Cricetulus griseus: one gene and its partner. The protein of the gene in region 1 interacts with the protein of each later gene in a pairwise test. Links are inferred from orthologs where the notes say so. Each region holds a gene or a part of one and is shown on either strand. Other genes may lie near its edges.

Evidence for each region. The genes of interacting proteins can lie anywhere in the genome.
Region 2: the proteins of Rnps1 (region 1) and Srsf6 interact in binary tests that used the Homo sapiens proteins (3 or more experiments, as listed by UniProt). The two-hybrid records come from large-scale screens. The link is inferred for Cricetulus griseus from reciprocal best matches to the Homo sapiens genes RNPS1 and SRSF6.

Annotation. Positions count from the first base shown.
Region 1 is NC_048600.1:43,954,441-43,958,185, reverse strand, and holds the start of Rnps1 (RNA-binding protein with serine-rich domain 1), read right to left. Parts: upstream 2,809-3,745; 5' UTR 2,658-2,808; coding exon of another isoform or gene 2,656-2,657; intron 2,347-2,655; exon of another isoform or gene 2,266-2,346; coding exon of another isoform or gene 2,222-2,265; intron 1,318-2,221; exon of another isoform or gene 1,116-1,317; intron 1-1,115. UniProt on the Homo sapiens protein: Part of pre- and post-splicing multiprotein mRNP complexes. Auxiliary component of the splicing-dependent multiprotein exon junction complex (EJC) deposited at splice junction on mRNAs.
Region 2 is NC_048599.1:16,582,455-16,586,180, forward strand, and holds the start of Srsf6 (serine/arginine-rich splicing factor 6), read right to left. Parts: upstream 2,916-3,726; 5' UTR 2,772-2,915; coding exon 2,665-2,771; intron 2,466-2,664; coding exon 2,317-2,465; intron 1,037-2,316; coding exon 912-1,036; intron 807-911; coding exon 598-806; intron 442-597; coding exon 358-441; intron 258-357; coding exon 1-257. UniProt on the Homo sapiens protein: Plays a role in constitutive splicing and modulates the selection of alternative splice sites. Plays a role in the alternative splicing of MAPT/Tau exon 10. Binds to alternative exons of TNC pre-mRNA and promotes the expression of alternatively spliced TNC.

The sequences.
Region 1 (3,745 bases):
TCCTCAACTGTAACCACGAGAGAAAGAATACACCATCAGAGTTTGATTTCAGAGACAGGGCATTTTTAGATGCTGCTGAATAAATATTCTAGCCCCAAAGAGAAGAAGGAGTTCTTGGCTTTGAACAAATAAATGGAAGACAGCAAATGGTCACCTATATAGCTCCTTTCCAGGGCCATAACATCTTTTCAATCTGTTTGCCCTAAAACATACCATACACACCTACCAGGGAACATGAGCAATTCATGGTCTGGAGTAAGCAAGCATGCCTGTGTTTGATTTCATGCTTCACTATCTTCATCTTGGTCATGGCACTCATTCTAATTATTATTATTAATTTTTTTTGTTGTTTTTTTCCAGACAGGGTTTCCCTGTGGCTTTGGAGGCTGTCCTGGAACTAGCTCTAGTAGACCAGGCTGGTCTCAAACTCACAGAGATCCGCCTGCCTCTGACTCCCGATTAAAGGCGTGCGCCACCACCGCCCGGCTCATTCTAATAATTTTATTTACGGAGACAGACCCTCTCTATTGCATAGCTCTGGCAGTCTGGGAACTCACTCTATTGTCCAGGCTTGCCTTGATCTCAGAGATACTCTTGCTTCTGCTTCCGGAGTTCTGGGATTAAAGGTGTGAGCCACTAAATCTGGCTGGCACTCATTGTTATTCTTATTGTTTTTTTTTTGAGACAGATTCTCTTTATTATGTAGCTCTAACTGTTCTGGAACTCTCTAGGTAGATCAAGTTAACCCCTTGCCCGAGTACAAGGATTAAAAGGCTTATTTTATTAAAGATAAGGTCGCCAGCCCAAGCTGGCTTCAAATGTTCTATGCAGTAAAGTTTGACTGTTGCTTCTCTTGCCTCCACTGGGATTATAGGTTTTATATATGGGGCTGGAGACTGAAACCAGGGCTTCACGAAGGTAGGCAAAAGCATACTACTAACTGAACTACTCCTACAGCCTCACCTTTCCTGACAATTACTACTCAAAGGCCTTAGCTAAATCAGTCTGTGAATCTGATATGGCACCCAGCTAGCTCAGCATTAACTAGGTCCACACCCATTCTTTCCTCATTACACATGATTTCTGAATGCTTAATAAAGCCTCTAACAGCTCACCTTTAGGTCACATAGAACAACACTGTCCAGTAAGAGTGTGAGCCATGAACACAACCTCAAATTTCCTTGCAGCCACATCAAAACCGGTGGGAAAAAAAAAAAGTTTTGTTCTTGTAGTGCTGGAGAATAAAACTCAAGAGCCTGGTCCGGCAATGGTGTTGCACGCCTTTAATCCCAACACCTGGGAGGCCGAGGCAGGCGATCTCTGAGTTTGAGGCCAGCCTTGTCTACAGAGCTGGCTAGTTCCAGGACAGCCAGGGCTACAAAGAGAAACTATTGTTTAAAAAAAAAAAAAAGAAAAGGAAAAAAAAAAAAAAAAAAGAAAAGAGCAAAGAAAACAACCCCCCCTCATTTAACAAGGACTCTACTACTGACATAGACTAACAGTACAAAATTAATGATTTTTTTCTTTCTTTCTTGAGAGTGGTGGGATCATGGGTCCCAAACTTAGTTTTTAATAAGATAGTGTTACTTTTATAACATATAACCAATATTAAAATACTAAGTATTTGTGGTTTTTCCGTACTAAATTACTTAACATTTCAGTTTGGGTTGCTACCCAAGTGCTTCATAGCTATCAGTGGCAAAGAATAGCGATTTCGCTTGTGTACCCCACCCCAACCTGTAGGAATATACTTTATGAAACAACCAGAACCCGTTATTCTTAAGCAGTCCACAAATTATTAACTATAGAGTAAGCGAACACTCTGCTGGGTGTGGTCGAGTGCTAGAAGCAAAGGTGAGGGTCTCTGCTCACACAAGTTCAGGTAACAGCTCAGGACCTTGGTCACCTCCCCATCCTCCGGAAGTGTGCGTCCAACAGCCAGAGAGGAGAAAACAATTAGTTAAATCTAGAGCAGAGGCCGTTTCGTCAACCTTCAAGTCACTCTCTACATATAGAAGCACATTTGAGACGCCGTGCCTACGAAATAACACAAAGTAGAGAAAGAAAGCCTACCACCAAACCATAACCTTCCAATAGTCTCCCTTTGAGCTCGGGAACCGTGCTCAGCCCACCCTGAGCCGGATCCTCAAGGCCCAGAGCTAAGAACTACACGCAGGAGTTCGATAGACACTCGTGAAAAGAGATCTAAAAGAAAGCCAACCTTTTAGGCCGGTTCACAATCGGCACCGTCTGCTCCGGCCACATATATCGACCTCGCCTCCCACCCTTTCTCCACTCACAACTCAGGTAGGGCCTGGCGTGGCGAGCCTAGGTCTCCAGCTAGACAAAAAAAACAAGAGAAGAGGCGGCGCTCGCAGCAGCCGGGAGTCCCGCAAGCTACGCTGGGCGCCGCCAAGCTAACGATGCGGGATCGCCCTTCCGTCTGCGAGCGCCTCGACCACTTCCGGGCCGCGGCCTCGACACCTCCCACTCCGCCCGACCTGAACCACTCTTTCTCTTCGGGTTCTGCGCGTCGCCGGCAGACCTCTACCACACTGCGGGGCTGCGAAACGCAACCGGCTCCACGATGCTCCCCACCGAGCCCGGCAGAAGGTCCCCGAAGTTCGGATGCGGCCGGATTCCTTCCCAACTTACATCTTCCCGAGGCCGCCACCTCCTCCCGCTCTTCTCAGACCCGGAGGCCGGCGCAACTCTGTCGTCGTCAGAGTTGAGAAGCGGGAAGACACTGCGTCGTCGCGCAACGATGACGTAAAGCTCCTCAGCCAATGCACCCGAGCGGTGGAGACTTGAAGGCCGCGACTGTTTATAGGAAGAGCGTCCTGCCGGGACTCGTTTTGCGCAGCCTCGGAGCGCGCGGATGATTGGCTGACGGGGACTGGAGGGCTGCGTGTGTGCGGAAGGATATACTCTGGTTGTCTCTGTTACTGACTTTTTTTTTTTTTTTTTTTTTTTTTTTTTTTGAGACAGGGTTTCTCTGTGTAGCTTTGGAGCCTATCCTGGCTCTCCCTCTGGAGACCAGGCTGGCTTTGAACTCACAGAGATCCGCCTGCCTTGCCTCCCGAGTGCTGGGACTAAAGGCGTGCGCCACCACTGCCCGGCTCTTACCGACTCTTACTATTATTATTGACTCTCTTATTGAGTGCTAGGCCTACGGTATGGTTACGCGCCCTGCAGGGAGTGGTGCGCCTTACAGCCCAGGCGGCGGAGAGTCCAAGCAAAGCCGTGCTATTTATTCTAAAGGGACAGGCTGGTACCGACGGTGGGTTCCTGCCGCCAAAACTGCGTAGACGCGGGTAGGCCAGAAAGAAAGGAGTTTGAGGAAATGCCGAAGACATGCAGTAGGGGAGGCGTCTCCGAGGTGACATTTCTGAAAAGGATGCGCGGGGCGGAGGGAACAACAGGTGCAAAGGAAGGCGTCCAGGTTCGCTGGGAGAAGAAAAGGAACGCCAGTCTGGGTGAAGGTCATTGTCAGGACATAGAGGTCCAGGGCCTAGGCTACACAGTACCCGTGGTGCTGCAGTGCCCCGCCTCCCAACTTCGCTTGGCGTATTCCTTCCTCTGTGGTTCTTTGAGGAAGGAATGGATATGTACACAGTCCCTGCGGTTATCTAAACAGGTTTGAGACAGCAAGGAAGAGAGAGGAATTGATCTAAGGTTTAGGAGGAAGAAACAAAGGTGACTTGGTTTGGATTACATATCGCTGTGAAAAATAGGAGGCCAGTGT
Region 2 (3,726 bases), on another chromosome or scaffold:
TTGAAGGTGGAGCAGGCAGGGGTGAATGGGATCGAGACTGGCTCCGGGATCTGGATTTGGACTTTATATCTCCTTTTCCATTTTCTTTGGGGGACCGAGAACGTGACCTACTTCGGGACTTCCCATACTCATCCTTAGATCTGCTTCTTGAGTGTGAATGGGAACCCCGATCAGACTTGGGCTTAGATTTGCTCTTTGATCTGGATTTCCTGCCTTTTGAGCGGGATCGGGATCGACCTTTGCTCCGCGACCTAGATCTGTGTAAGAAAAGCCAGATTTCTTTCAGTATCTTGTCAGAAATCACATGTACTCCATCAACAGGTAAAATTAAGAAAGACCCACTACCACATTATTTACCGGGAGCGACTTTTTGAGATACTTCGAGATCTACTGCGGCTGCTCCTGCGACTCCTACTCCGTGACCTTCTTCTAGACCGTGATCTACACACAAGAGACAGTGACGTTTGAATCTCTAGAAAGAATGGGTTTGTACTACTCAGCTTTGGCTGAAGTATCTGCTTACTACAACCAAGAAACTCCGTAAGTTCAATTAAGCAACAACTGAAAACTACAAGCCATCCCAGTCCCTCATGTTACCTGGATCTACTTCCAGAGTAAGAGCGCCTATGGCTTGTTCGTGGTTTATCTTCAATAAGCCTAATATTTCTGCCATTTATTTCTGTGCCATCTAGTTTATCCAAAGCACGCTTCATGTCAGAGTAGGATCTAAATTCAATTACACCCTCATTTGTTCGTTCTTTATGAGCATCTGCATAAGTCACTTCTCCTGCTTGCCGCATGAAATCCTAAAATAATAAGACTGGTCAGTCCCAGAAATCTAGAGCATGTCTGTGCAGCACCAACTCTTAAGGAAATGACCACCCACTGTCATTTAAGGCCCAGGCACATACCTTTAAGTCTTGCCAACTGCACCGACTAGACAGATTTTCTACAATAAGCCTGTATTCTGTACGAACAGGTGGTCCATATTTGTCTCTGCCAGAAGTTCTCCGACTGCTGTATCCACCTCCACCACCTTTATCACACGGAGGGAATAATTAGATGCATTGCAATGACAGGGATGCATGTTTTTGAAAGTTAGTACAAACATAGCAACGTTTATTACTGGAGTAGGACTTTGCTATTATACTGCTAAACCCTCGATACATTTGTGATTTGCCACAAATTAAATTAAGGGCAAGTCAAATAGACTAAATCCAACTAACCCTCTCCTACAATCTGTTAGAGAGTGACTGCTCCTTTAGTCAATTTACCTCGCTAAGTTTTATTTTACAGAACATTGTAAAATATAAAACTTAACTGATTACATGCATTTCTACATTTTACAAAAATGTTTACTAGTTACACTAAGTACTTACATCACAGTGTGAGGTTTTTGGTGGTGGTTTGGCCACAAAACACGCAAGGTAACAGTCACCTAGTTCAGATTAACCAGTTTTGTCTAACCCTTGGAATCCTCACCATCACCCTGCGTCTAATGGCAAAAGGCTGCTGTCGTCATGGCTTCCGGTAAGGTCAGCCAAAGGGTCATAGGGCAAGGGTCACACAATGTATGGAAAAGCCAAGGCCAATCAGGAAAGGCAGTCATCTTAGCCTCAGTGGACACAGCCTCAGCCCCATTGGTCACTTTTAAATTGAAACATCAAGGACTTGTTAAAAAGTTTGAATTCAACATGCAACAATTTCAACATTAAACATTTCACATAACCAAAATCCCCCCAACCCCCTCCCAGTAACATGCCCCAAACCAGTTCAAATATAGCATAAAGCTAATTTAGATTTACGTTGTGGTAGTCTACCACATTTAGTTAGTTTTAAATGGCATTCTCTTTGGCCCTCGCCAAGTCTCCCCTCACCTAAGGCTTAAGCTCCAAGCTCCTCCCCTTTCCCCGCCCCCTGCCCCACCTCCACCCCAGCTTTCCTAGAAACTTCCTCGACGCTAGCTAAAGCACTGACAGAAAAAGCAAGGGGGAAATGGTACAAATACAGGCAACCCCCGCTTTCAACGTGGGCAGAGCCCAACACCAGTGCCAACGAGGGCCAACTGAAGCCACCCCTTCCAAACTCAGCCAACCAACCAGCCAGCCACCCGACCAACCCAATCCCCGCGCTCCGGTGTCCTATGGCTCCCCGAGCATGCGTGGAGGCAGAGGGGGCCCGGGAACACCCAGGGCCAACGACCCCCGGCCTCCGCGCCTGCCCGGGTCAGGGAGGTCCCGCCCTGCGCCCCCCTCCCCCGTGACCGCCCCCGCCCGGTACCCAGGACGCGGAGCGCGCGGGGGGGGAAGAACTCACTGCGGCTTCCGTAGCTGTAGCCATCGCGGTCGCGGCGCGGGCCCCGGGCGTGCTCTACGATCACGCGCTCGCCACACAGCTCCTTGCTGTTTAGCTCGTAAACGGCGTCGTCGGCGTCGCGGGAGTCCTCGAACTCCACGAAACCGTACCTGAGGAGGGGCGGAGCGCGGGCCGCGCACCGGCGGGCGTGTCGTTAGCCGGCGCTGCGCGCTCCCGCCACCTCCCCGCGCGCGCTCGGCGCCGCCGCCGCCATCTTGGAGGCCCTGCCACGCGGCGCCGCGGCCTCGGTCGACTCGGTCCTTGGGGGCTCCCTCCGCCACGGGGCGCGGACCCCCAGACCCGACTCACCCATTTTTGAGGTCGATCTCGAGGAGGCGGCCGTAGCCGCTGAAAAAGCGCTGGATGTCCTTCTCGCGGACGTTGTAGCTCAGGCGTCCTATGTAGACGCGCGGCATGGCCGTGGCGGGTGGGGTCCCGGAGGCTAGCTGAGGTGCGGCGGGCCGCGGGGCACGGCTGCGGTGCGGGTGCGGGGACGGCGAAGGCCCGAACACGCGCCTCACACCGCAGCTGCGGCCGAGTCAGCCACACAATGGTGCGCGCGCGCGCCGGCCTACGCTATAAGCGTCCGGGGCGGGGCGGGGCGGGGCGCGGCGCGTGACGTCGGCGCGCAGCACGTCCTCTCCCGCGCCGCGGCGGGCGGGCGGGCTCCCGGGCGACGGGCTTCTTGGGGGACCGCGGTCTCGCGGCCGCGATGTTCCCCGGCGCTCGGCACCCATCTCCGTACCCAGTCCAGCCGGGAGCGGGCCCTTTGACGGGTGCCTTGTCGTCAACCGCTCTCGTGCCCAAGCACGCGGAGAACGGTCCCTAGTTCTCACTGGTTCTCAGGGCTGTCCGTCAAGGCCGTTCCGGTCCCTGATTGGTGTACTGGGAAAAGAGGTTGCGCTCTCCCTTTAGCGGTTGGCTCGCGCTGGTTTCGGTGGGAACGTGCTCTCGGACTCAGTTTTCTCTGCCGCCCCATCTCTGGCCGGGAGGTCGTAGTGACCCGCCGCGGGGAAGGTGCGGTGGCGAGTCTTGAGTCTCGGTGACACCCTTCACCCCGCTCCGAATGCTGACAGCTCTGAATCCCGCGCTCACCGCGGCTGCTCACAAAGGGAGCGTGGCAAGACCCCACGCACCACCAGGCGGGTGACCCGGCGGTCCCCCAAGAACACCGAGCTCCTTTCCTACCCATGCTGTCCTTAACCCTGTTGACTAGGAAGGCACGGTGTTTATGTGGCAGAAATGCACACTTAGGAGTTTGTAGAGGTGACATCTAACGCTGTAGAGCTAGATAAACAAGACACCCCCCCACCCCCTCCGGAGTAAATTAACTTAAGTACCGCAAAAGAAAGGCTGGTTGCAGAGGTTAGG